Linked DNA regions of Callithrix jacchus. The protein of the gene in region 1 interacts with the protein of each later gene in a pairwise test. Links are inferred from orthologs where the notes say so. Each region holds a gene or a part of one and is shown on either strand. Other genes may lie near its edges.

The links.
Region 2: the proteins of SDCBP (region 1) and TMEM239 interact in binary tests that used the Homo sapiens proteins (3 or more experiments, as listed by UniProt). The two-hybrid records come from large-scale screens. The link is inferred for Callithrix jacchus from reciprocal best matches to the Homo sapiens genes SDCBP and TMEM239.
Region 3: the proteins of SDCBP (region 1) and REEP6 interact in binary tests that used the Homo sapiens proteins (3 or more experiments, as listed by UniProt). The two-hybrid records come from large-scale screens. The link is inferred for Callithrix jacchus from reciprocal best matches to the Homo sapiens genes SDCBP and REEP6.
Region 4: the proteins of SDCBP (region 1) and ABI2 interact in binary tests that used the Homo sapiens proteins (3 or more experiments, as listed by UniProt). The link is inferred for Callithrix jacchus from reciprocal best matches to the Homo sapiens genes SDCBP and ABI2.
Region 5: the proteins of SDCBP (region 1) and CBR3 interact in binary tests that used the Homo sapiens proteins (3 or more experiments, as listed by UniProt). The two-hybrid records come from large-scale screens. The link is inferred for Callithrix jacchus from reciprocal best matches to the Homo sapiens genes SDCBP and CBR3.
Region 6: the proteins of SDCBP (region 1) and SEPTIN3 interact in binary tests that used the Homo sapiens proteins (3 or more experiments, as listed by UniProt). The two-hybrid records come from large-scale screens. The link is inferred for Callithrix jacchus from reciprocal best matches to the Homo sapiens genes SDCBP and SEPTIN3.
Region 7: the proteins of SDCBP (region 1) and DMC1 interact in binary tests that used the Homo sapiens proteins (3 or more experiments, as listed by UniProt). The two-hybrid records come from large-scale screens. The link is inferred for Callithrix jacchus from reciprocal best matches to the Homo sapiens genes SDCBP and DMC1.

Annotation. Positions count from the first base shown.
Region 1 is NC_133517.1:14,796,753-14,800,845, reverse strand, and holds the start of SDCBP (syntenin-1), read right to left. Parts: upstream 2,801-4,093; 5' UTR 2,774-2,800; exon of another isoform or gene 2,755-2,773; intron 1-2,754. UniProt on the Homo sapiens protein: Multifunctional adapter protein involved in diverse array of functions including trafficking of transmembrane proteins, neuro and immunomodulation, exosome biogenesis, and tumorigenesis.
Region 2 is NC_133506.1:10,320,811-10,324,261, reverse strand, and holds TMEM239 (transmembrane protein 239), read right to left. Parts: upstream 2,046-3,451; 5' UTR 2,044-2,045; coding exon 1,962-2,043; intron 1,877-1,961; exon of another isoform or gene 1,840-1,876; coding exon 1,370-1,839; 3' UTR 1,239-1,369; intron 919-1,238; 3' UTR 501-918; downstream 1-500.
Region 3 is NC_133523.1:1,413,199-1,417,126, reverse strand, and holds the start of REEP6 (receptor expression-enhancing protein 6), read right to left. Parts: upstream 2,801-3,928; 5' UTR 2,719-2,800; coding exon 2,604-2,718; intron 1-2,603. Other genes in the region: PCSK4 (proprotein convertase subtilisin/kexin type 4), read left to right, coding at 3,664-3,852. UniProt on the Homo sapiens protein: Required for correct function and survival of retinal photoreceptors. Required for retinal development.
Region 4 is NC_133507.1:124,726,992-124,730,491, reverse strand, and holds part of ABI2 (abl interactor 2), read right to left. Parts: intron 1,764-3,500; coding exon 1,588-1,763; 3' UTR 1-1,587. UniProt on the Homo sapiens protein: Regulator of actin cytoskeleton dynamics underlying cell motility and adhesion. Functions as a component of the WAVE complex, which activates actin nucleating machinery Arp2/3 to drive lamellipodia formation.
Region 5 is NC_133522.1:42,208,720-42,212,959, reverse strand, and holds the start of CBR3 (carbonyl reductase [NADPH] 3), read right to left. Parts: upstream 2,801-4,240; 5' UTR 2,694-2,800; coding exon 2,405-2,693; intron 1-2,404. UniProt on the Homo sapiens protein: Catalyzes the NADPH-dependent reduction of carbonyl compounds to their corresponding alcohols. Has low NADPH-dependent oxidoreductase activity.
Region 6 is NC_133502.1:189,775,209-189,778,708, forward strand, and holds part of SEPTIN3 (neuronal-specific septin-3), read right to left. Parts: intron 1,636-3,500; coding exon 1,536-1,635; intron 955-1,535; exon of another isoform or gene 832-954; intron 1-831. UniProt on the Homo sapiens protein: Filament-forming cytoskeletal GTPase. May play a role in cytokinesis.
Region 7 is NC_133502.1:209,475,728-209,479,697, forward strand, and holds the start of DMC1 (meiotic recombination protein DMC1/LIM15 homolog), read right to left. Parts: upstream 2,801-3,970; 5' UTR 2,639-2,800; intron 491-2,638; 5' UTR 458-490; coding exon 410-457; intron 1-409. UniProt on the Homo sapiens protein: Participates in meiotic recombination, specifically in homologous strand assimilation, which is required for the resolution of meiotic double-strand breaks.

The DNA.
Region 1 (4,093 bases):
CAAAACCAGGAAAATCTGGAATACTAATTTGTGTTTCTTTTGTTGAAGCAGTTATTAAAATTTCTAGTAAAGTTGTGTTGCATTATCTCTTTATTTTCACTTATGCGAACTATTCATAAAATGAATGAAAAATGTAAAAAATAAAAATAAAGTATCAGGCCAGGAACCATGGCTCATGCCTGTAATCCTAGCACTTTGGGAGGCCGAGGTAGGAGGATTGCTTTAACCCAGGAGTTTGAGACCAGCCTGAGCAACACAGCAAAATTCCATCTCAAAAAAAATAAAAAGTAAAAAAATGAAAAAATAACATGTCCCCCAGATGGTAAGCATTCCAGATAGCTCATACATGGAGTCTAGAAACACAATTTTATATATCCTAAGCAGCCTTCCAGAGCAATGTTCTCAATATGGCTATTCATCAGAGCCAAATTACCAGAGGCTCTAGTTATTATAAAAACAGCTTCCTGGGCCGGGAGCGGTGGCTCACGCCTGTAATCCCAGCACTTCGAAGGCTGAGGCAGGCGGATCACAAGGTCAAGAGATCGAGCCCATCCTGGCCATCGTGAAACCCTGTCTCTACTAAAAATACAAAAAAATTAGCCGGGCGTGGTGGCATGCATCTGTGGTCCCAGCTACTCGGGAGGCTGAGGCGGAAGAATCGCTTGAACCCAGGAGACGGAGGTTACAGTGAGCCGAGATTGCGCCACTGCACTCCAACCTGGCAACGGAGCAAGACTCCTCTCAAAAAAAACAAAAAACAAAAAACAAAAAACCTCAGCTTCCTGAACAGATACAAATTTCATGGAAGGACTTAGGTACTCTGCTTTTTAATAAATATCCTGGGAGTTTCTGAAGATCAGGCATTAAGAAGTATGTCCATATAAAGTCCACTCTAAGTAGAATAATTAATTCTTACCCCTAGGATTCCATTTCTCAGCTACTGAACTGGCAAAAATCCAAAGTTTGACAATACTCTCCGACAGCAAGGCTTTGAGAAACACTCATACACTACTAGTGGGAGCGTAAACTAGTACAATTCCCATGGAGAATGAGTTTGCAGTAGCTTACTAAAATTCTAAATTCAAATACCCTTCAACTCTGCAGTATCATTTCAAGACCTGAACTGTACAAACACATGTGCACAAAGGAAGCAACATATGTAAAAGTTCATTCACTGCAGCACTGACTGTAACAGCCAAAGACCTGAAAGCTATATATGCTGATATTAGAAAGTTCCAAAATATTATCAATAACTGGAAAAATAAGAGCAAAATGTGGAGCAGTATATAAAATGTTAACGTTTATGTTAAAAGAAAGGAGACAGATGCAGTTTGTATGTTTGCCTGTGTAGATAGGATATTCCCGGATGAATACCCAAGAAATTTAAAACAGTTGGCTGCCTGCCAAAAGGAAGGAGACTTCATACTATATACCTTTGTATGCTGCTTAAATTTTGAGACACGTGACCGTTTACCTACTCGAAGACAATATTTACAAAAGATGTTGGCAGCACTTGAAAGAAAATTAATCAATGTGAACGTAACTATTACTAAGTGTAGAAAGTATTTTAAAGTTGTTTGGGGAGCTTTCCTTTTTTATAATCTCTTGGCATTTAATACCTATAAAAAGGACCCAAATCTGGCAACAGGGAAAATAGTTGTGCCACGCACATTTTAAGAAACTGTTTAATTAAACAGTACATTTAACTGGCAACCATTAGCAAATTCTTCCCCTTTTATGACTTTTACATCTTTTCCTATAATGCCCAAAACTAAAAATGTCTCTGAAGTTCAATTTCGTTTATAATGGAGAGACTAAACAAGCGGATGTTAGAGCTCGGTAAACCGAGTGTACTTTCTAAGGAAAGTACGTAATGGAAAAAATAACCGTAAATGTGTATGCGGTTATATAGAATAGATGATCCTAGAAACTCCTTTCAAAAATGTGCACATTCGAAGCCTCCATGACTCAATAATCCCACTTTGATCAAAGTAAAAACTTTCCGCATCCATATGCCTTCCCTTTCCCATCATTACAAGGAAATCCTGAAAGGAAAGCTGTGAGTCATCAGATCTCAGGAGTATTTCCTTCTAAACATACTCTGCGGGAAACGTTTCTCCTTCAGGTCCAACAGCACCAGGAAAAAGCTCAGGGCGAACAACCTCTCCCCACCCGCTTCCAAACAAGTCAAGGTTTCGCCCACTAAACACCTCCTTCCTGCTTTCAAATCCAGGACGTTCCTAATAACCCAAAAGGAAGCACAGCCCAAGAAACGCGGGGAGACAGGACGTTCCAAATAACCCAAAAGGAAGCGCAGCCCAAGAAACGCGGGGAGAAACCGCGGCCAGAGGCTCTTTCTTTACTTGTCTCGAGATCTTAGCGAGCGAGAACAACGAGGATCGAGAGACGGTCCCAGGAAGAATCCCAGAGCTGGGGCCGCGGTTGCCGGCGTTCACCCGGCCGTGCCTCGGGGCTCTACCCACCCCAGCCCCAGCCCCAGCCCGGAGAGGAGCTCGAAACCCGCGGGGTCCCGGGGAGCAGAGCGCGCTGCTCCCGCAAATTTGCCCCGCAGCCAGCACGGCGCAGGGAGGGGCGCGGAGCCCCTGAGGAGAGGGCGTCGCCGCCGCCTCCCGAAAACGGCTGCGACCAGGACGCTCTCGGTTAAAAGGCCCGGGGACCATCACGCCTCTGCCCCACGTCCCCGCGCCCGGGACCCGGCACCGGCGTCCCTCTTGCCCCCTTTCGGCCTCTCACCTAGCCCACAAGGACTCACTCACGGCCGCCGCCTCCTCCGGTCACTGGCACGGACTTCTGAGGCCCAAGGGTAGCAGAGCGGCGAGAGCCGGAGGACCGCCCCCGAGGCGCGTCACGGCACCGCCCCCGCCTTCCGCCCGCGCAGGCGCACGGCCCCGGGTCAGGTGATCCGGTTCCCTAGGTAACCGGGCGGCGGGAGTAAAGGGACCTGGGCGTGGGTAGTTCCTGCAGCTACCGGTATCTGGCAATGTAGGGCCGTGCAGGTGGCCCGCTGTGCCAACTGGCCGCTGCCCCGCGGTTATGCTCCGCGTCTTCTCCGCTCTTCTGGCAGTTCGTGCCCGCTGGCCCCTTTCCACCCACTCACTACCGTGTGTATAGCAGCTCACGGTCGCTTGGTTCTGGTCGCCTACAATTCAAACAGGTCTCGGGAGCCCATGCTCCCTCTTGGGATGCCTTCGACTTCCACCACTGCTGTCCTAACCTCACTCTCCTCTTGCTGTACCTCTCCACCATAGGCTCACAAATGTTCCTCTCACTCACTACCCCTTCTCAACTCCTGCCTTATTTTTCTGTTTGAAATGTGGGGGGTCGAAGGGGAAGTTACTAATCTTTGTCCGCCTGAGCTGATATTCCTTCGCTGTTGAGAGTTCTGTGTGGTGCTGCGCAAAAGTAATTACTGTTTCCTAATACAAAAACATAACGATGATTTCTTGAGGGCTGATGATGTGCCAGCCATAGCTCTACGAACTTAGTGTATAGTCTTATTTGGTCTTCACATCAGTCTATAAAATAAATACAACATCGCATTACAGACAGACTGAGGCACAGTTTACCCAAGAATAATCATAGTTACCGTGGAATACTGTAGAGTGCTTGACAAAATAGCATTTACAAGCAGTTTATAGCTAAATTAGTGCCACAATCATATCTGGCAAAACTAATAAAAAAAATCTGAGGGTAAAAGAGGTGACAACTAAAGATGAAAACTTTCACATGTACCCCAAAACCTAAAATGCAATAAAAAATTAAAAATAAAAAAAGAAAACTTTGCTCTCAGTAAGGTTATATGTAGTTAGGCTGATGAAAATGGACGTTTAAAAATAATCACAAGGTAGATTGGGAATGAGAAAATAAAACTTTTTGTTTTCAGATGAGATGGTTATCTAACATAGAAAATCCAGGAAAATTGACACCCCTCCCCTAAAAAATAGAATGAAAAGCAATTACAGTAAATTTTCATGAACAAGTTTAAAACAAGCTGATCCTAAGCCAAAATGCTTGGGACCAGAAATGTTTCCAATTTTGGATTTTTTTTGGCATTTATGAAATTCTCATTATA
Region 2 (3,451 bases), on another chromosome or scaffold:
AGGGATCAGAAGTGGGCAGAAGTTGGGATGACCAGGGATTGGGTGGGGGTCAGGTGTGGATAAAGTTGTCTATCATGTACCTTACTTGGTGATAAGCAATCACTCAATGTTTTGTTGGAGGGGCCAGCAGGCAAACAAATGGACAGCATTCAGGGCATCAAAGGATTTCCTCTTCCAAGGCCCTTCTGGTGCCTGGGTGGCTTGCTGGGTCAGTTTTGGAAACCCTGAGGCTATGCTCTCCCCACTCACAGAGCTGTGCAAGCATTGCCTGGCAACCTGCCCCAGGCCCAAGCATTTCACAATCAAAATAGTTCCAACATCTGCACATTTTGAGATTTCATGGCACACGACCTTTTACATCTTGTCCACACTTATCCAACCTTTTGTTAACCATTCTAGCGCCAAAATTCTATCTAGGACGGAGAATTGATTTGAAAGCCAGAGAAGCTTCCTATTTCTTCAGCAGACTTTGGGGTCAAAAGATTTTTGAGCCTACAGAATGTTCTTAGAGCTCAAAACAGCATCTTATAGTTTTTTGGTTTTTACAAAATGCTTCACAAACAGATATTGCCTTTGACTCACAACAACCCCATGACAGGGGTGGCCCACCTAACACTGAGGCTCAAATGAATTAATTGGCCAAGGCCACACATTGTGTAAGTGTGTGAAATGGGACTTCTTGATCGTTTTTCCATAACAGACCTTGGGACTCTTAGAGAGTGAGTATCTGACCCCAGTTGGTCCATTTCTCAGACTTGGGAATGTGGACTGAGGCTGGAAGAAGGAAGTCTAGGGAGGACAATGCATGGGCTGCAAGGTCTGGAAGGCGAGTGAGTTGAGGTCTCCTGAGGCTTCTGGTCAGCCTTCTCCCTGATAGGTTTTCTGTCACTGGGACCCTCTCTAGAGTCTGTGGTTCTCCTGGAAATGGAAAGAGGGGATTGGTGGGAGGAATGGCAAGGCCAGGGGTACCCAGGTAGAAGTTCTCAGTGACTCCGAAGCTGAGACAGCTGAGTGGCTGTGAGAAAACGATGCTGTCACTTGCCAAGGGGGCTTCACGGGTATCACCACATCCACATGGGCGCTCTTGGTGGCTTGGCCAAGCTCTGCCCCTGGCTAAGCCATTTCTACCAATGGCTAAGCCATCTGTTCTGGCCTCTCTTCTCAAAGTCCCCAGCCCCTCACACCAGGAAGCTGCAGCAATGGCTTGGGGAAGGTGCCCAGGGGTCAGGCCACTCTACCTGCTAGGGACTGGAGGTCTGGGGCCTGTCAAGCCAGGGGGTCCTGGTCCCATTGCCCTTCCTCTCCAGTCAGGGTTTCAGGCCCTAGGCCAGGGCTCAACAGATGCAGGCAGCTGGATGGGGTTGCCCTTCTATTGATCCAAGTTCTGAGCGTAAGCTGGGTGAGTCATGGAGGTGATGAGGCCCACGAGGCTCAGCAGCGTGGAGAAGAGCAGCAGGAAGGATGCCGTGAAGAGGAGGGCAGGCAGGGCACTGAGCACCAGCAGCAGGAGAGCCGGCAGCAGGTGGCGCCACACCGCAGCCATGACGGGCCACAAGGAGCTCAGCAGGTAGGAGCCAGTGGTGAAGAGCGCATGGCACAGCATCAGTGCCAGCAGCAGGTAGAGTATCCCCTCCAGACCCCACAGCAGGCGCTGCAGCGGTTGCCGCCAGCTCGAGGTGTTCCACCAGTGGATCCAGCTCCGGGGCACATGGGATGCCAACCAGTGCACCCAGCCTTGCCGTGTGAAACAGGCCGACCAGGGCGCTGCCTGCTGTGGCCCCTCGCCGGCCCCGATGGTATCTGTCTCCACTCGAGGCTGCTGCATCACGGCTGGTGCACCTGGGGAGAGGGCCAGGGTCTTGGAGATGCCTGGGACCTCAGGAGGGCAGAAAGGGGGTGCAGGGGTCAGGAGGGCATGAACATGGGTGGGTGGGGCAACAGAGTTGGGGCCTGAGACTTACCTCTGGGCAGAGTTCCTAAGTCATGTTGCTTCTTGCAGTGCCCAGGATGGCCTGGCAGGCAGATCCAAGTCCTCACTCTCATCTACCCCCACCCTCCCCAGAGGAGCCCCTTTGTGACCCGGGCTAGGGTGGGGTCCTGCCAAGAGAGGAGCCTCTGCAGGGTGTGAGGCCCACCCAAGTCCCTCTGCATGGACCGTCCAGGCTGGCAGGGGATCCTCGGAGCCGTGCAGGTGTACTTATCATGCTTTCTCATGGAAAGCCCTCCCTGGATGCCTGACCCTTCCTTGCTTTCCCTGCTGGCTGATATCTACCCGCTTCCACCCTGTTCTCTTACAAGTCTTTCTGTCTGGATCTTCATTCTCTAGAACCACAGAAGAGGCCAGAGTGGCTGCCCCAAACCCACAGGCTCTGAGATAGCTGCCACATCCTTCCCCGGGCTCCCTGGCTCGTATCCTGCCTTCTCTTGCTGCCCCAAGACTCAGACCCAGGTATCCAATACCTATGTTATGGGACTGGAGGTCCTGTGAGTTTCAGGCTGGGAAGAAAGGGGTAATGTCCCACCTGCCCAGCCAGGAAGGAGAAAACGGGGCCTGAGGAAGGAGGATGGCCATTGTATATTTGAAGGACACTGTTTTTGGGAGGGGCTCTCAGGCCCAAGGATGGAGGCAGAAGGCCAGGCCAAGCAGGGTCAAGGGCATGCCATAGGCTCTCAGGAGCAAGCCAAGTCCCAAGAGCAGCAGCAGCAGCACATCCTGGAGGTGAAGTTGTCCTGACACTGCCCCCATTTGCAGAAGTAGAGCCTCCTGCTGTCCTGGACCCTCACCGGCCCCCTGACTCTGGCCCCTGGTGAGAAGTTTGTGCTGTGGCCGTGTGCCACCTGTGGGCCTGCGGAGAGAGAGGGCTTAGGAAAATTGTCCACTGGACTGCCCACCTGCCAGGCTGCTGTCCACTTACCTATGGAGCAGGTCAAAAGTGAGGAAGCTGACTAGCAATAGCAGCAGCAGTAGGGCTGGGCCAGTTGTGGAAAAGACTGCCTGGATTGTCATCCCTAGTGCCCCCAGCCCTAGGACACTGTCCAGGAGCTGGGCCCAGCTAGAGCCCCAGGGGGACATGCACTGGATGACACGACCCCTCCCCAGCATCCAGACCCCTGGGAGGAACTGGGATCAAATCTGCAAGGGCTTTGGGTCTGGGTAAACAGAGCTGGGTCATGGAGAGAGGTGGAGGTAACAGGAAGAGCTAGTCCTAAAAGAGATCATAGAAGTGAGAATGGAGGAAGGGGTAGGGCCCTGGTAGACACAAGGGTAGGCTCAGAGTGGGGAATTAGGCTCCTGAGGAGTCTCCCCATCCACTAAACTCACCCACCAAACCCTCCTCACCTGCTCCCACTTTGGTCAGCATTCTAGGAGGGTACCTGGGGCATTGTGACCTGTTGCCAGGTGGGGCCCTGGGGTATGGAGGGGGCTGCTGCTGCTGCTCTGGCCTCATAA
Region 3 (3,928 bases), on another chromosome or scaffold:
TTTTTGAGACGGAGTCTCGCTCTGTTGCCCAGCCTGGAGCGCAGTGGCACAATCCCAGCTCACTGCAACCTCCGCCTCCTGGGCTCAAGCGATTCTCGTGCCTCCGCCTCCCGAGTAGCTGGGACCGCAGGCGTGTACAACCCTGCCAGGCTGACTTTTGTATTTTTAGTAGAGATGGGGTTTCACCGTGTTGACCAGGCTGGTCTCAAACTCCTGACCTCAGGGTCCCCCCCCACCTCCTCTGTGTCCCAAGGGCGGGATTACAGGTGTGAGCCACTGCACCTGGCCTTCCTGTACAATTATTAAGCGCCTTCAGGCTACTGTAACACAGTTCTAGTGAGGAGGGTCTTCAGAGAGAAGAGTGTGTGTGTGTCCGCATCCAGCTCTGCCCCAATCCTGAACCTGGCTCTGGAAAGAATGACTGTGACAACTGCATTTATTAAGCGCCTATTGTGTGCCAGGTTCTGTGCTTTCCCTGAACTGTCTCATGCAACAGCCAGAACTGGGCTGGGTGGGTGTTGCCCAAGGTCACACAGGGAACCTCTGGGCTCAGAAGGCTTGGGACAGCCTCCGTTCTCCTCCCCTGGGGCTGCTATCTGCAGAGAGAGATAGAGGCCACTTGCCGACCAAAGGGCAGACGCCCAAGTTCCGCAGCCCAGCCCTCCCCTCGGCCAGCATCAGTCTTTATCGACAAGCACCCAAGGTCGGGGTAGGAGGGGTCCCCCAGCTGGTCCCAGCAGGCTATGCGGCCTCCGGGCCACTGTCTCCTCTGAGTTTCTTCATGTTACCCAGGGGTGTAGGACCTATGGGTTTAAAGGAGGTGCGGGGTTGCGGGGGAGGGGGATACAGGGGGATGAGGGAACGCCACCTTTCCCCGGGCCTCCCTGGTGGGGGAGGAATGGCTCTCCCAGGGCGTCCCTCCCCTAAATCCCTTTTTCTGCAGGTTCAGCACTGGGAGGATGACCTTGAACATGGGAAGTGTGGACGGGGCACAGCCCCCAAGATTAGCAGCAGATGGGACTGGGGTGGGCAGGGTGGAGGGGGCGTATGCTTCAGACAGAGCAGGCACATAGGCAGCCCCTGCCTCCCTGTACCTCAGCCTCCTCCCTGGCAACACAGTGCCCCAGCCAGCCCGTCCCTGCTGCCTGCCTCCTGGGCGCTCTATGACCTCAATTCCCGCCCACTGGCCCCAGGGATGTGGAAAGGGAGGGCAGAGGTCAGGGGCCTGCTCCCCGGGGCAGGCACAGGGGGCCATGCCACCTGCTGTGCTGTGCACATGGGACCAGGCACCTGGGGACCTCCAGGGTCTGGGAACAGATCTCAGACTGTCCTGGGGCTGCCAGGCATGGGAACTCCCAGATGGTGGGAAAACGGGGGAAACTGGAGTCCTGGGATCTGCCTGCAGGAGGTGCTCAAAAAAGTGGCACTGCCCGCTACCCACTGCGCCCCAGGCTAGAGAAAATCCTTGTGAGTTACTCTGCCAGGCTCCCTGAAAAAGAAGGCAGGGCCAGTGGGGCTGGGAGCACCACACAAAGGGAAGAAAGGCTGGGTACAGTGGCTCCCTCCTGTCATCCCAGAGCTTCGGGAGGCTGAGGATCACTTGAGCCCAGTTTGACACCAGCCTGGGTAACATAGTGAGACCCTGTCTCTTAAAAAAGTTAATTTTAAAAAGTTTTAGGCTGGGCAGGGCCGGCGGCTCACGCCTGTAATCCCAGCACTTTGGGAGGTCGGGGTGGGTGGATCACTTGAGATCAGGAGTTCGAGGCCAGCCTGGTCAACATGGTGAAACTCCATCTCTACTAAAAATACAAAATTTAGCTGGGCATGGTGGCGCACACCTGTAATCCCAGCTACTCGGGAGGCTGAGGCAGGAGAATTGCTTGAACTCGGGACGCGGAGGTTGCCGTGAGCCGAGATCGCGCCATTGCACTCCAGCCTGGGCAACAGAGCAAGACTCCCTCTCAAAAAAAGAAAAAAAAAAAAACTTTTAAAGGTGGAGAGGGAGGCATTTAAGGAGCGATTGCTACATGCGCGCTCTAGACAGTTTTGGAAAGGGGCAGGGCCGCACAGTGTCACCAAGGCGGAAAGGACCAGGAGAACATGGAGTCACAATCGGGGTGTCGGGATCTGGAGCTCCGCGGGCGCCAGTCCAGCCTCCCCCCATCACAGCTGTCAGACGACCCAGCTTCGTCTTAAATATTTACGCGCAGTGGCACTAAGCCATTGAGCCGGGGGAAGGAGACTAGGCCAGCCGGGAGGAGGGTCCTGGGCAGCCCCCCGGTAGCCCCCCAGGGACGGTCCGTTCCCCTCCCGGAGTCCACGGGGGGCAGGGGACGGGGAAACGCGCGGGTCACGGGCATCCCCACCCCCACCCCTCCGGGGCCACCGGGCAACTGGAAGAACCGGACTTCGGCGTGGCGGGCACCCAGCGCCGGGAAGGAGGCTGGAAAGGGGGGCGCGGGCGGACCCCGAGGTCCCGGTCACCCCGCACGCTCCACCGGCCGGACCGGACCCCGCAGCCGGGGAGGGAGTCCGATCCGCGACCCCCGGGCCCGTGGCCTCGATGTGCCCGTCGGCGAAACGGGCGATCGCCGACCGCTCACCTGCAGCCAGATACCGCTTCTCCACCCCGGTCTTGGCCTCCAGCGCCCCCAGCGCGTCGGTGACCAGGTTCCTCTGCTCCAGGAAGCGCTCCACGCGCTGGCTCAGCCCGTCCATGGCCCCGGCGCGCCCGGCGTTGGCTGCTCGAGCTCGCCCGCGGCCCCGCGCGCCCGCCCCGCTGCACGCGCGCAGCTTTCTCGCAGCGGGAGCCGAGCTGTCCGGGCCCCGCGCCGGTGTCCGCCCCCGGCCCCCCGCCCGGACCAATGGGAGGGCACGGCGGACAAAGGAGGTGGGGCCTGCCCCGTCTCCCCCGCCGCATCGCCCTCTGGGGGGGCTGCGGCCGCCACTGCGCAGACCCCGCCTGGAGAGGGCGGGGCGCACCAGTTCAGGGCACCGATTGGCCGGGCGGGAGCGAGACGTAGCTGATTGGAGGGGCGGTGTCAGGGGACGGGATTATTGGCTGCGACGCTGAGGGGGGTGGAGCTAGGGTGAGGCGCGGCACGCGGTGGAAGGAGGAGCCTGTGGGCGGGGCTGGAGAAAAATCCGAGCCGATTGGGGAAACGGTACGCGATTCATTGGTGAAGCCGGAGGAGGGGCGGTCTGATCCGTAAAGGAGGCGGGGCTGATTAGTAGGGGCGGGGAATTGGGCGGGGCTTATTGGAGGAGGCGGGATTGCTCGATAGAGCGATTTTGATTGGGCCGGATAGGAGGCCGGGCTGATTCTCGAAGGAGGGGGTGTGTGGGAAAGTGGGCGAGGCCAAAGAAAGTGCTGGACGCGTTACCACGAGTGACTCCCCTTCTCTGGTTTAGATTATTGTCGTTGTACAAATGGGGGAACTGAGGCTCCCGAGGCTGTGGGTCTGCGGAAGGCCGGCAGGCGTGCCTCCTTCCCGCTTCTGTCAGATCTTCGCGCCTCTCGGCGGGGGTAGCCTCAAGGCCCCCTGGGAGTCGAAGCCTTCCGCGTTGCCATGGCGCCGGGGGCGTGGCGGGCGCCTGGGCCCCCTCGGCGGTTTGGCGGGGGAGGGGCTTGCTCAGGTCCCGCCCCCTCCCCGCCCCGCGTCCATGAGGCCCGCCCCGATTGCGCTATGGCTGCGCCTGGCCTTGGCCCTGGCCCTCGTAGGCCCCCTGGCTGTGGGGTGGGCCTCGTCCCGGGCCCCCATCTATGTCAGCAGCTGGGCCGTGCGGGTGTCCCAGGGGAACCGGGAGGCCGAGCGCCTGGCACGCAAATTCGGCTTCGTCAACCTGGGGCCGGTGGGTGGGACCGGGATGGACAGGAAGTGGGGGCTCGAGGGGACTGGACGGCCCCAGACCCCGACAAGTGGGAGGG
Region 4 (3,500 bases), on another chromosome or scaffold:
CTACACTTGTTCATTTTTCAATCAAGTTCCTCTTTCTGAACTTGTTCAAGACCTTGTTTGAAATATATGCAGCTATTGCTTTTCCCCTTTCACCTAGCACAGGGAAGTTACTTGGCAAAGCTCTATTCTGGCCAAGTCACTGGGACTGAGTAGAGCCCATGTTAGCAGCTCTGGGCCTGAACAGGGCTGGCCCACCGTCACAGTAACCACCTACAAAGAGGCAAGCCCTCCTGGATTTTTTCAATATTTCCTATACTGACTACAGTAGTGAAGGTTAAAGCCATCTGCCCTACAAACTCCATTGGATCTGAAGCTGTATTTATTGTACAGATGGGGGAAATGTATTTTATTGTTTGTGTCAGTTATATTAATTTTTATCAATGTGATTAGATATGTATTTTGGCCTATTAATCTTATTCATGATATTCTTAATCTGAGACAGGTTTAAATTCTCACTAAAAGCAGCTACTTAAGAGTCCAATAATACAAAATCAGGAGAGTATTACCTTTTCTGCAGCTAAGTGAGTCAATGATACAGCAGCAATTAATACTGGCCATTAATCACATCCAGAGAGCACATTAACAAACCTTTTATTCCCAGTGACTATCAAGAGACTTGAAAATAACCACTATTCTCTTCCAGAGTAGAATACGATTTTCTAAATAGTGAAAGAAGTGATCATCATAGTTGGTCTGAACTCCAAGACCTACTCCTCAAAACAGCACCGACGGCAAGGGTTTGGGATGCCTGCTAAGAGCATTTCCACAGTTCAGTCTCTTCAGAACCTTAAGAACCTTCACACACCCACCTCCGCACATGAACCAGCCTACCACACTTCACATCTGGGCATACCGGCCATTAGCAACAGTGCAGTCTCATGCAGCAGCACATTAAAATCAAATGGTGGCAATCGTTTGCCACCCTCAGAATGTTGGGAGACTTTCACATTTCATCATCCTTATAATCCACAAACAAATATGAAGGGATGCAAGTGAGTTCACCATGCACTCATCTGGTGCACTCAAGTGCTGAGAGAATGCAGAATTTACAGTGTTACAGAAGAAAAATGCCATCTGAAATAACAGTAAAAATGGTTAAGTGTGGTATTTAAATATTGGTTCCCTCCTCTTCATAGTGGAAGAAAAGAATGGGCAGGGTACCAACTGGGCCATGAGGTTAACCCCTTAGCACAGGCAATGAAGAACATCCAATGCCACATATTCTGTAGGAGGAGAAATCCCAAGGGCATACAGTATTCCTGAGAAAGATCCCAGATTTTTCTGAATCAGTCTTAATCTGATTTTGTTTTGGCTACACAGTTATGTTATACCTCTGACATATACAAAAAATGGTCACTTTATTTCAATCCCGACAACTCAGCATAGTACAAATGACGGCAGCAAGATCCATTTGTTCAGACTCAGATTGCTTTTTTTGTTTTTAATACTGGGGGATAAACCAAAAAAGTGTATTTTTTTATCATTTGTATCCTTCATTCTACTTTACTGGAGTGGAATCTCCAGGGCCTTCAGATAATCTGGGAAGACCTGACTATTCCTGTGAGGCAAGCACATCCCTGCTGAGCTCTACTCAGAATAATGCATGATAGACTCAACGTAATTCCCAGGAAAAAGCCCAGTCACTCCATTCATAACTCCCTCATACCAACCATCGTCATTCTTCTTGATGACATAAATAATGGCTCCTTCCTGAAAGGACAGCTCATCTTCCTTGTCTTTTGTATAGTCATAAATTGCCACAACTGGGAGGGAAGAAAAACAAAATAGGATGTGAAAGAGAATAATATTCCTAGAAAGATAGAACCAAGCAGGTGAATATGTATCCTTTCCCAAATCCTATAGCACTCATTCATGGTGACTTTCTAAACACCAACCAAAACGTATTTTTTTCTAAGTTATACCCAGTCACATACAACGAAATTCCATGTTCCATGGATGTTAGGCTTTACACTGAGTACAAATGATGAAACAGCACATTTACTCAAATGTGCTTTTGATTACCTTTCAAGAGCCTACGGGAAAGTACCTTGTTAAAGAGATACACAATCCTAGAATCAAGAAAGATGGCTGTTTCTTCATCTGAGCTTGTGTTGAGATACCATACTGTGGTTTAAAAAAAAAAAAAGCTTTTCTTTACCTTAGAATTTTACTAGTGCAATGAGATACACTATGAGAGACAAGTGAGAAACCAGACAGACTAATGAACAGCAGATATCGGTCTTCTTCCTCTCACTCTCTGGAGCCTATGCCTCTTTCACTAAGTAGAATGGTGTTTGAATTTCCCCAAGTTAAATGTATGAATGATGGGAGTCTGCTACATATATTCTTTCAAAACATATGCTGCATTATGTCAAGCAATTTAATATAACCATAATAACAGACTAAAAGTGCCAAGAAAACCAAGATACCTATAAGCTCTCCTGTGATTTTCATTGCTTACATCACTTGGTAACTTGGCTCTTTCAGTCATTATCTCAGTGGTTATTTCAACTGTTATCTTATTTCAACCAGATTCTGATTCCCAAGTATTATATCAACTTCAACAGTTCAGTTATACTGGGATACCCTGTAACTTGCTCAAATCCACTTGAAGAGTTATCCTTTGCTCCAACCTCTTCATCTCCTGTACCTTTTTTATACCACTCAGTGAAATCTCCATCTATCCATTGTTCTGAGACAAATATACTGTCTTTGTTAGTTTGTCATGTGACCTTATACCTCACGTAAATAAATGGGAAACAAACCACAACAAGGACTTTTGATATAATGTAATGTGCCCTAGTGAAAGAAAATTTGTTTCTGGCCTGTTTTAATAAAAATTAAATAGCTTTCTTAAATTGTGAATATTTTCCATTAGAGTGATATAGTAGGAACACCAGAATATTTTTTTTTTTCTGAGACAGTCTCAATCTTAACGCCCAGGCTGGAGTGCAGTGGCACCATCTCAGCTCACTGTAACCTCCGCCTCCCAGGTTCAAGTGATTATCCTGCCTCAGCATCCTGAGTAGCTGGGATTACAGGCTCATGCCACCATGCCCAGCTAATTTTTGTATTTTTAGTAGAGACGGGTTTCTGCTATGTTGGCCAGGCTGGTCTTGAACTTCTGACCTCAGGTGATACACTCGCCTTTGGCCTCCTACTCATTACAGTAGTGAGCCATCTGCACCCAGCCAGAAAATAGAGGATCCTTGCTAGGAAGAGATCAGCGTGCATTTCTCAATATACAACCAAATGCCTGAAGACAATCAAATGTAGTTAAATGGCATACAAGTTTAAATATAAGAAAATACAATTTAGAATATTTAGCATTTCTAGTCAACCCAGTATTTTCTACTGCTTTTTTAAGGAAAGATAACATTAATGATGCTTAAAGAAACACAAACCCTTGGCTGGGCACAGTGGCTCATGCCTGTAATCCCAGCACTTTGGGAGGCCAAGGCAGGCAGATCGCTGAGGTCAGAAGTTCGAGACCAACCTGG
Region 5 (4,240 bases), on another chromosome or scaffold:
AAGTTGTATTTTCCCATCTGAAACTCACATGACAAAGTGGATCCTAACTCCTAATGACTAAAGGAAAAACAAGTTAACTGTAAAACCATTTTTATTTTATTTTATTTTTTTTGAGACGGAGTTTCGCTCTTGTTACCCAGGCTGGAGTGCAATGGCGTGATCTTGGCTCACCGCAACCTCCGCCTCCCGGGTTCAGGCAATTCTCCTGCCTCAGCCTCCCCAGTAGCTGGGATTACAGGCATGCGCCACCGTGCCTGGCTAATTTTTTGTATTTTTAGTAGAGATGGGGTTTCACCATGTTGACCAGGATGGTCTCGATCTCTTGACCTCGTGATCCACCCGCCTCGGCCTCCCAAAGTGCTGGGATTACAAGCTTGAGCCACCGCGCCCGGCCCAAAAACCATTTTGAAAAACGAGGTCGGTGATTCTCAAACTTTAGTGTGCATCCATCCGAATCACTTGCAGAGCCTGTTAAAACAGTTTCCTGGGCCTCATTGCAAAGGGCTGGGGTGAGGGCTCCAGAATTTGCAGTTCTTTTCTTTTCTTTTTCTTTTGTTTTGAGATGGAGTCTCACTCTGTTGCCCAGGCTGGAGTGTAGTGACTCGATCTTGGCTCACTGCAACCTCCTCCTCCCGGGTTCAAGTGATTCTCCTGCCTCAGCCTCCCAAGTAGCTGGGATTACAGGTACGTGACACCATGCCTGACTAATTTTTGCAGAGACGGCATTTTGCCATGTTGGCCAGGCTGCTCTCGAATTCCTGACCTGAAGTGATCCACCCACCTTGGCCTTCCAAAGTACTGGGATTACAGGCATGAGCCACCACACCTGGGCTGAGTTTGCATTTCTAAGTTCCAGGTGATGTGACAGCCACTGGTCTCCAGCCACACCTTGAGAATACTTGGCTTTGACTACTGCTTCTTAAAGAAGGGAACTGGGGATTCTGTTGAAATGCAGGTTTTTTTTTTTTTTTGAGACAGAGTCTTGCTCCGTTGCCCAGGCTGGAGTGCAGGAGTGTGATCTCTGCTTACTGCAATTTCTGCCTTCTGAGTTCAAGGGATTCTTGTGCCTCAGCCTTCTGCGTAGCTGGCATTACAGGGGAGAGCCACCATGTCCAGCTACTTTTTGTATTTTTAGTAGAGATGGGGTTTCACCATGTTTCCCAAGGCGGGAGGTTCTGCCTTGCCATGAGTGAGCAGGTTAGCAGTTGCTGTTGGTCCATTCCCCACACCTTGAGAGGCAAGGGGAAGTCCCTTCACCTGTTGTCCAGGAAGCCGGGTATTTAGCCACCAATCTCCCAGCCCATGGCTGAGGGCTGCTTTAGGGAGTGTTAACCCCCAGTCTTGCACCCCAGCTCCCAGGAAGCCGGCAGGCTGAATTGCAGGTGCGAGTAAAAGAAAGTCTCAGGTCCTCATGCACAGCCACGCAGAATGCCAAGGGCCAAAGGGATGGACGGAGACTTCTGCTCCCCCATCCTTCATTTTACTTCCTGTTTCTTAGGCTTTTCTTCCCCACTAGGTTGGAAGGGAAGCTGGCTTGTTTATCTCTCTGTAGCAACTTTTTTTTTTTTTTTTTTGAGACAGCCTAGCTCTGTCGCCCAGGCTGGAGTGCAGTGGCGCAATCTCGGCTTACTGCAACCTCTGCCTCCCAGGTTCAAGCGGTTCTCCTGCCTCGGCTTCCCGAAGTGCCGGGATTACAGGCGTGAGCCACCACGCCCGGCCCAGCCGGTAACTTTCTTGAGTAGTATTTAGAGTAAGTAATCTCCGGATCCAGCCCCTCTCCTTAAGGAAGATGCTCTTTAGACCGCACGCACATATTTTGTAACAAACAAACTCGCCGGAGGAGGGAACGAAGGCTCGCTTCCTTTCTGCCAGAGTCTATCAAAGCTCTGCATTAAACAAACTGTGAAGTCCACCAAGTGCAAGTCCGCGTTAATCTTGTTTTAGCGATTCATTTCCTTTCTCCAGCAAATGCCTCCGGGCATCTATGAATGCGCCCTTTGAAGGAAAGCGAAAGCCCAAAGCGAGCGGTGACCCTTTCTTTAAAGAGAAAATGTTTCTTGCGTTGGGAGGAAAGCTGATGAACTCTAGCAGGGCGTTGCCCGCTCCCAGGAGGCCAGTTTTCCTGCACAGAGCAGCGGCTGACAGTTCGGGGAAGGCCGGGGGCCGCGCACAGGCTTGCACAGGCGGGCGGGCGGGGCGCGCTGTGTCTGCCGCCCGGGCCCGCCTGGGGTTCAGCGGATTATGGAAAGCGAAAACCACCTCGCGGAAGGCGAGGGCTGACCGCATCCCGAGGTGCCGGCGCGCCCTCCTCGGTCACTCGAGTGGATGGGTGGGGATCCTGCGGCTGGCCGCCCCGCACCCTCGGAGTGCTCCACGGCTCCCCGCACCCAAGCCCTGCACCTACCCCAGAAGACGATGCCCGCGTTGTTGACCAGCACATTGAGCCCTCCGTACTCCTTGCGCAGGAAGTCGCGCAGGGCGCGGATGCTTTGCAGGTCGTCGATGTCCAGTTGGTGGAAGCGCGGGCTCAGGCCCTCCGCCTGCAGCTGCTGCACGGCCGCCTGGCCCCGCGCTACGTCCCGCGCCGTGAGTACCACGTCCCCCGAGAACTGCCGGCACAGTTCGCGCGCGATGGCCAAGCCGATGCCCTTGTTGGCCCCGGTCACCACCGCCACCCGGCTGCAGGACGACATGGCTGAGCGGGGCGCGCAGGACACCTGCGTGCAGGGCGGACCGGCCTTCGGACCACCTGGGGCGCGCCCCGTGGAGCCTGGCCAGTGTCAAAGCCGCGGCGCAGACTAAGTTCTGCGATCCAGTGCTGCGAGTCTTAAAAGAACAAGGCCCACGGTCTGGGTTCCTCCCCTCCGAGGAGGGGCAGTCTGTGCCGAAGATTTCGTAATGTTTCAACTCCCGGGCCCGCCCCGTGCCCACGCTGCGCCCTTCTGGTTCTGGGCAATGAGCCGCCGGCTGATCTGCGAGGTGTGCTTTCCCCAAAGCCAAATCCGACTGTGGTGGGTCAGTCGGGGGCTCCAGATTCGTGGCAGCTGGACTGAAGAAACTATTTTGGGAAAATCCCAAAGTGAGAAAAACAAGTGCTGAGTAATTTTCTTGGGTGCGCGCCCATCATGCTCTGCGAGATGCGAATGTTTGCTTTTTCCTAAGATGCAGTGACTTCGCTTAGACATAGTAACTGCTTCTCTGGACGGAGGTCCCCTTGCTTGCTTAAAAGAACTCAGGAGAGGGAGTTAGATGACCTGTGAGCACATTAGCAGTTGTGGGCAGGTGACATCGCTCTGGGATCCCCAGTGGATGTGCCCCCAAGTGGGAGGGAATGTTTTTATTTAATCCCGACCTAACTCCTCTGGGTGCTGAAAGTGTCTGCACTTAGGTTTGTCCAAGGAGGATGTAGATCTATAGAGATCTGGATTTTTAGGTTTGTCCAAGGAGGATGTAGATCTATAGAGATCTGGATTTTTAGGTTTGTCCAAGGAGGATGTAGATCTATAGAGATCTGGATTTTTAGGTTTGTCCAAGGAGGATGTAGATCTGTAGAGATCTGGATTTTTAGGTTTGTCCAAGGAGGATGTAGATCTGTAGAGATCTGGATTTTTAGGTTTGTCCAAGGAGGATGTAGATCTGTAGAGATCTGGATTTTTAGGTTTGTCCAAGGAGGATATAGATCTGTAGAGATCTGGATTTTTAGGTTTGTCCAAGGAGGATGTAGATCTATAGAGATCTGGATTTTTAGGTTTGTCCAAGGAGGATATAATCTATAGAGATCTGGATTTTTAGGTTTGTCCAAGGAGGATGTAGATCTGTAGAGATCTGGATTTTTAGGTTTGTCCAAGGAGGATGTAGATCTGTAGAGATCTGGATTTTTAGGTTTGTCCAAGGAGGATGTAGATCTATAGAGATCTGGATTTTTAGGTTTGTCCAAGGAGGATATAGATCTATAGAGATCTGGATTTTTAGGTTTGTCCAAGGAGGATGTAGATCTATAGAGATCTGGATTGATCATATATTCTCACAGTGAGATCTGTGTACTGGCAAAGAAAGTTAAACTGAAACAAAATTCCCAAATGTGTGTCAAGCTGTGGGCACAAAATCAGATCCCCATCCATCATCTTCAGTGTAAATTGAGTTGTTTGATCAGTGATTTTAGGATTTGGGGAGAGCTATGACATCATCATGACTCCTCCGCCTTTTCCACGCAGAGCTGGCTAACCTGCCCGTGTCTCTG
Region 6 (3,500 bases), on another chromosome or scaffold:
GTTGGTCAGGCTGGTCTCAAACTCCCAACCTCAGGTGATCCACCCTCCTCAGCTTCCCAAAGTGCCGGGATTACAGGCATGGGCCACTGTGCCTGGCCCAACTGAACCATTTTAAAAAGGTCATGCACTACATAATAAATCCAATTCAACATATACTAAATACCTAGTATCTGCAAATCACTGGCCTAGCGCTGTTGGAACACAATGAGGATTAAGACATGGTGCTGGGCACCAGAGCTCATGCCTGTAATCCCAGCAGTTTGGGAGGCCGAGGCAGGAGAATTACTTGAACCCAGGAATTTAAGATCAGCCTGGGTAATACAGTGAGACCCTATCTCTGTTAAAAATAAAAATAAAGCTGGGCACAGTGGCTCACACCTGTAATCCCAGCACTTTGGGAGGCTGAGGCGGGTGGATCATGAGGTCAAGAAATCAAGACCATCCTGGTCAACATGGTGAAACCCCGTCTCTACTAAAAATACAAAAAATTAGCTGGGCATGGTGGCACATGTCTGTAATCCAAGCTACTCAGGAGGCTGAGGCAGGAGAATTGCCTGAACCCAGGAGGCGGAGGTTGCGGTGAGCCGAGATCGTGCCATTGCACTCCAGCCTGGGTAACAAGAGCGAAACTCCATCTCAAATAAATAAATAAATAAATATAAATAAATATAAATAAAATTGCTGGGTGCAGTGGCTCACGCCTGTAATCCCAGCACTTTGGGAGGCTGAGGCAGGTGGATCACCTGAGGTCAGGAGTTTGAGACCAGCCTGACCAACATGTCAAAACTGTCTCTACAAAAAATACAAATATTAGCTAAGCATAGTGCGCACCTGTGGTACCAGCTACTCAGGAAGCTGAGGCAGGAAGAATTGCTTGAACCCAGGAGGCAGAGGTCGCAGTGAGCTGAGATTGTGCCACTGCACTCCAGCCTGGGCAACAGAATGAGACTCCATCTCAAAAAAAGAAAAAAAAAATCTGAGTCTGAAATCAAGTTTCACCACTAACAAATTATGTGACTTTGGGCAAGGCTTTTAACCTGAGCTCTGGTGCTTTGGTGCCTTATATTCTGAGAACAGGAGCATGCGCCCTCCTCCCTTCATAGGGTTATCATATTGAATGAAATCATTAAAGTGATTCTTTGACCACTTTCAGAACCATCAAGACCCGCCCAAGGTCACATCCATTCATAATAAAATGGAAATGGCAACACCTGAACAACCCTCCAGCAGTCTGTCAGATCACATCTTCCTTCCTATGAAAACTTTCTCCAGGTTTTCCAGGTCTTACTAAACTCTCCATGTTCTGAACTCCTTTGATACACCAAGTCAGTGCACCCAGTCAGGTGCTACATTGGTCTCTTGTTAATCCTGCCTGTAAGCATCTTCTCAATGAGACTGTAAGCTCCTTAAGGGCAGAATCTGGCTGGCATTCATTTCATGTGTCCTGAGACAGTGCCTTGATCTATAGATGCTTAATAAATGGTGACTGGATAACTGATCAGCAATGAGTTCTTCCAGAAGATGCAGTGAATTACCTTCGATGATCCCCCATGGAGTTTTTCGGCCAAGGACCCTCTTGCCATTCACTTGGTACTCCTTGTCACTTCCCACCACAGCAAACGGCATGCTCTCCTGCTGTACGGGGCAGAAACACAAACCAGACAATGTGCACCGTCATCCTCCAACAACCTGGGTATCCAGGAGCAGGACGACCTATGGTCCTGTGGCCTTGAACCACACTCTTCTGATGCTCATTCAGAGATACCACTGATGGCAAGGGCAAGGCTCAGCCGATTGAAAAGAGCACCACACTCAGAATCAGGAGTCCTGGGTCGAATCCCGATTGTACTACTACCCGGCTGGTTAACCTCAGGAATCAGCTCTCCTTCAGCTGCAGAGCGCTTCATACATTTTTTTTTGAAATGGAGTTTTGCTCTTGTTGCCCAGGCTGGAGTGCAATGGGACAATTTCAGCTCATTGCAACCTCTGCCTCCTGAGTTCAAGTGATTATCCTGCCTCAGCCTCCTGAGTAGCTGGGACTATAGGCATGCACCACCATGCCCTGCTAATTTTTATATTTTTATAAAATAGAGAGTATATTTTTATAAAGTAGAGACAGGGTTTCGCCATGTTGGTTAGTCTGGTCTGGAACTCCTGACCTCAGTTGATCCACCTGCCTCAGCCTCCCAAAGCGCTAGGATTACAGGTGTGAGCCACTGCACCTGGCTTTTATTTTTAAATGGAGTTTCCACTCTTGTCACCCAGGCTGGAGTTCTCAGCTCACTGCAACCTCCACCTCCTGGGTTCAAGCAATTCTCCTGCCTCAGCCTCTCAAGTAGCTGGGATTACAGGCACCCACCACTGTGCTCAGATAATTTTCATATTTTTAGTAGAGATGGGGTTTCACCATGTTGGTCAGGCTGGTCTCGAACTCCTGACCTCAGGTGATCTACTTGCCTCAGCCTCCCAAAGTGCTAGGAATATAGGCGTGAGCCAATGCACCCAGCCACTTCATACTTTTCATAGTGCTTTACATACGCTTACTGATTTTGAACACCTCTGGCCTAGCAAGGACAGACAGAATCCCTCTTAAACAAGTCCACCCAAGCAGACTCACTGATGCTTTACACCATCTCTGTGAAACCTACTACTGCAGATGCCCAGGCCCTCGGAACTCTCAGAGCTCTAGGCTACTTCCTGGTGTACAAAAGCCAGACCTGCTCCACCAGGTGGGATGCCTGTTCATCAGGAGCCAGCTGTTTGTTCCCAAATCTATTTGCCTGATGTGTACTTGTTATTGTAATTAGATAGACTGAAGCCAGATGCCTGAAGAGAGTTGATTCTCTGAAATTTAAGCTGAATGTTTCAGAAAGACTTGATAAAGGTGAGTTGCTTTGGCATTAAAGGTGGGCTTCTCCTCAATGAAGAGGCCTTGGTGCTTCAGGAAAAGAATGTGTAATGAATGTGATGAATATGTTTTGTTTTGCTTTGGGCAGGTGAGTTATTGTACACACCTTAGCGGATTCTGAGTTCCATGCCCATTGTCCTGCTTATATATGTTTTAAATTATTTTAACTTAGTAACTTCTTAAAATATTTATTTTTAAACATTTAAGATTTGTGACCAGGTGCAGTGGCTCATGCCCGTAATCCCAACACTTTGGGAGGCCAAGGAGGGCTGATCACCTGAGGTCAGGAGTTGGAGACCAGCCTGACCAATATGGAGAAACCCATCTCTACTAAAAAAAAAAAAAAAATACAAAATTAGCTGAGTGTGGTGGTGTGTGCTTGTAATCCCAGCTACTTGGGAGGCTGAGGCAGGAGAATCACTTGAACCTAGGAGGCGGAGGCTGCAGTGAGCTGAGATCGCATTACTGCACTCCAGCCTGGGCAGCAAGAGCGAAACTCTGTCTCAAAAAAAAAAAACACTTGTAAACATCATTTTAGAGAATGATTTCCTCGCCTCAGAGAACTTTTTCAGTTAATTGACCAACTACTGGT
Region 7 (3,970 bases), on another chromosome or scaffold:
AAGAAGCACCAATATTGAAAGGGCTTGGAAGTCAATTACCTTTGTCATGCCCTCCCTAAAATTTTACCCAAAAGACTGGAACAACATTTGACCTATTTTAAATATGTTCTCTCAACCTTCTTCCTTTCCAGATCCTAAACTCCTTCCTCTAGGACAAGGCTGCTATTCGGTATCACTGTGTATAGGTATCAGTATGGCCATAGCAGCTGCTAAGTTATTAAAATACTTTCATACCAGTTGCTAAGTAGCTAATCTTAGCATCCTTGCCAAAGAAGTTGTTACATACTTGCAATATATAACTATGTGTTATTTCTACTTTCAATTTCTAAAAATAGTAACTAACAGAGAAGGAACTTGATTTTTGTGGAATGACTGAATGTCTACATATCTTTCAACGCTCTAGTCATACCTCTTCATCTTGGAATCCTGGTTCTTCCACAACCTGATCCTCCTTCATATTGAAAGGTGAGCAACAGAAAAATAATCGCTTCTGGGAAAATAAGAAATATATTTAAGAAGTAGTCCTCTGAGGAGAGGGGAGCAGGGGGAAAAAAAGAGTAGTCCTTTGTCCTGAGGCCTCTGATTTCATTTCAAAGTCACCAAGGACTAGAAGAGAAGTATTTAGCTTGGAAAGACTAGGCCTGCCTATCTTCTTTCTGCAAGGCATGTGGCATTATTTCTTTTGTGTGTGTGTGTGTGTATGTGTGTCCTCACACTCACACAGGTGCCTGAGGGGCAAATTGGGGGAAAGACAAATTTTTTGTCTTTCCCCAACAGTGATATTTATCAGCTGATTTCCATTGCACAGCTAATCATGACTATGTAATATCTTTATTATTGCCTTGAAATGTTATTTAGAAGTGCATATTGCTTTTAACCCTTCTTGTTTAACAACATTCTAAGAACCTTGACATTATATCATTCTTCCTTGTGTCCTCCCTGGCACCTCCAACTTTGTCCTCAATAAATGGATTTTATTTTTCTCATTTATGATGAAGGCCTTCCTGCCTGCTATGATTATGAATGGACACTCCTGTGACATCTACCTTTTTGTTTCATAGAACATTAGCTATACTTTCTTTCACAGTATTTACTAGTTTCTTTTTTTTGAGGAGTCCTGCTCTGTCACCCAGGCTGGAGTGCAGTGGCACAATCTTGGCCCACTGCAACCTCCGCCTCCCGGGTACAAGTGATTCTTCTGCCTCAGCCTCCCAAGTAGCTGGGATTACAGGCGTGCACCACCATGCCCGGTATATTTTTGTATTTTTAGTAGAGATGGGGTTTCACCATGTTTGGTCAGGCTGGTCTCCAACTCCTGACGTCATTATCCACCCGCCTTGACCTCCCAAAGTGCTGGGATTACAGGCGTGAGCCACAGTGCCAGGCCGATTTTGTTAAGATTTAAAAATATGGTGGATACATAATATTAAAGCTGATAAAGCAGTGAAAGTCTTTAAGATTGTAGACTCAAAAAGAAATCTCAGGAATCCACGAACTGTGATTGTGCTTATTACAATAAAATGCCATCCAAATAATCATTTTTCTCGGTCTATTCCGTTTCCTCATTTGATACCAAAGTTAGGGGTTGGACCCTAGAACAAAGGGAACGGACTATTTTTTTTTTTTTTTTGAGGAGTCTAGCTCTGTCGCCCAGCCTGGAGTGCAGTGGCGTGATCTCTGCTCACTGCAACCTCTGCCTCCTGGGTTCCAGCGATTCTCCTGCCTCAGCCTCCCAATTAGCTGGGACTACAGGCGCGAGCCACCACGCGCAGCTGATGTTTTGTATTTTAGCAGAGACGGGGTTTCACCATGTTGGCCAGGATGTTCTCGATCTCCTGACCTCATGATCTGCCCGCCTCGGCCTCTAAAGTGCTGGGATTACAGGCGCGAGCCACCACGCCCAGCTGATTTTTTGTATTTTAGCAGAGAGGGGGTTTCACCATGTTGGCCAGGATGTTCTCGATCTCCTGACCTCGTGATCTGCCCGCCTCGGCCTCTAAAGTGCTGGGATTACAGGCGCGAGCCACGGACTATTATTAATTCTAAGGCAGAAGCAGGGTCTGACCACCGGGCACCGCAAACAGCAAAGGATGGAAGGCAACCAAGACCGTGTGGACGGGGTCTTCCGGGGTCTGTCCTTCAGAGGGCTACAAGTATGAGCACCCCAGCTCCGCATTTACTGTCCCCGTCATCCATTTCTTCTCCCCGGGATGAAATGAAAAGATTGTCCCCGTCTCTCACGGAGCCTTCGATGGACCGAACCGTTGGATTTAAGGGAGGGCTGCCCCATCCCCTGGCTGAAGGCCACCTCTGGAGGGGGCAGCAGCGCGGTCGGGTCGCCCTCGACGTCTCCCTCCGCAGGAGGCCTGGGCAGACCCCCGTGCGGCCGCCGGACGTTTTCCCGACACCGGATTCCCTCGTCAGGAGGACGAGGCGGGCCCTCCTGGACTTAGGTCCGATTCGATTTAAAATAAGGAGGTTGGAAATCCCTCAAGGTCACCAAAACTCCTCCCCAGGGGTCGGAGCGGAAAGCTCCAAGTCACTAGGGCCCTAAAAAAGGAGCGAGAAAGGGAAGCGCGCCATGGCAAAACGAGCGTCCCCTCAGAGTCTTCGCACGCCGTCGGTTTTTGCCACTTACCCCCCTCGTACCCAGTTTCCCCGAGATTTTCAAGGTGAAACCCCTCTGCCCCCGCCCGGCCTTTCCCGACAGTCCTCAGCTGACAGGATTCTAACTCGGACACAGAACGCGGAGCCTGGAGATCCGCGAGCCGCTGTCCACAGGGTTTGGCGCCAACCGACTAGGGCGGGGCGAGGACGGAGGGGCTGGGCGGGGCGCAGATGAGGAGGCGGGGCGAGGACGGAGGGGCTGGGCGGGGCGCAGATGAGGAGGCGGGGCGAGGACGGAGGGGCTGGGCGGGGCGCAGATGAGGAGGCGGGGCGAGGGGGAGCGGGCGGGCCCCCGCAGTGGGCGGGGCGGAAAGCAATGGGAGCTGGGCTAGGACCTAGGGGCGTGGGGGGCAAACGGGCCAGTAGCTGGGGGAACCCGAGGGTGTGGCCTGGAGGGGGCGTAGCGAGGAGGGAGCCCGGGCACGGCGCAGGGTGAGGGTTAGAGGCGAGGACCGAGGGGCGGGAAACGAGGAGGAGCCTCCTCTGGGAGGCGCGCTGAGGTGAGGGAGTGGGGGAGGGGCGCTGTGCAGGAAGCGCGCCGAGGAGAGGGACCTTGAAGGGAGGAGACTGTTGAGCTGGGGCGTCTCTCGAGGGGACCACCTCGCTCAAATTAGGGAGAGGACTCTGAGGAGGAAGCCTTGAAGCTGGGGAGGGGCGCTGAGCAGAGGTGGCCTACGGGTGCGAAAGGTCAGGGTCGCGAGGGATTGCAGCTGGAGCCTCGGGTTAGGAGTTCGAATCGGAGGTCCTTTTTATGAGACGGAGTTTGTCACTCTGTTGCCCAGGCTGGAGTGCAAGGGCGCGAACTTGGCCCGCCGCGACCTCCGCCTCCCGGGTTCCAGCGATTCTCCTGCTTCCGCCTCCCGAGTAGCTGGGATGACAGGCACCCGCCACCCTGCCTGGCTCATTTTGTATTTTTGGTACAGACGTGGCCAGGCTGGTCTCGCATTCCCGACCTCAGGTGATCCGGCCCCCCGGGCCCCCCGGAGTGCTGGGATTCCAGGCGGAGCCGCCGCGCCCGGCCCCGGGCTGGTTTCCATGGCCGGCGTCGGCTTGGCCCTGCTCCCGCAGCGCTCCTCATTGCCCACTCCGTGACTCTCCCCGTTCGCCACTCCTGTCTGTGATTGAGACACCCGAGGCCCATTCAGGGTGGAGAGTGATTTTCCTCTGCCTTAACTTGGAGTTTTAAATAGACTGCAGACGCCTGGCATATTTCGGTTCAGCTTTTAAATAGAAGCTGCGGGCCAGCCTTCGTGCCAGCAGCGCCATTGCTGGCAGCGCCCTCCTCCTCCCCTCACGCGGAGAC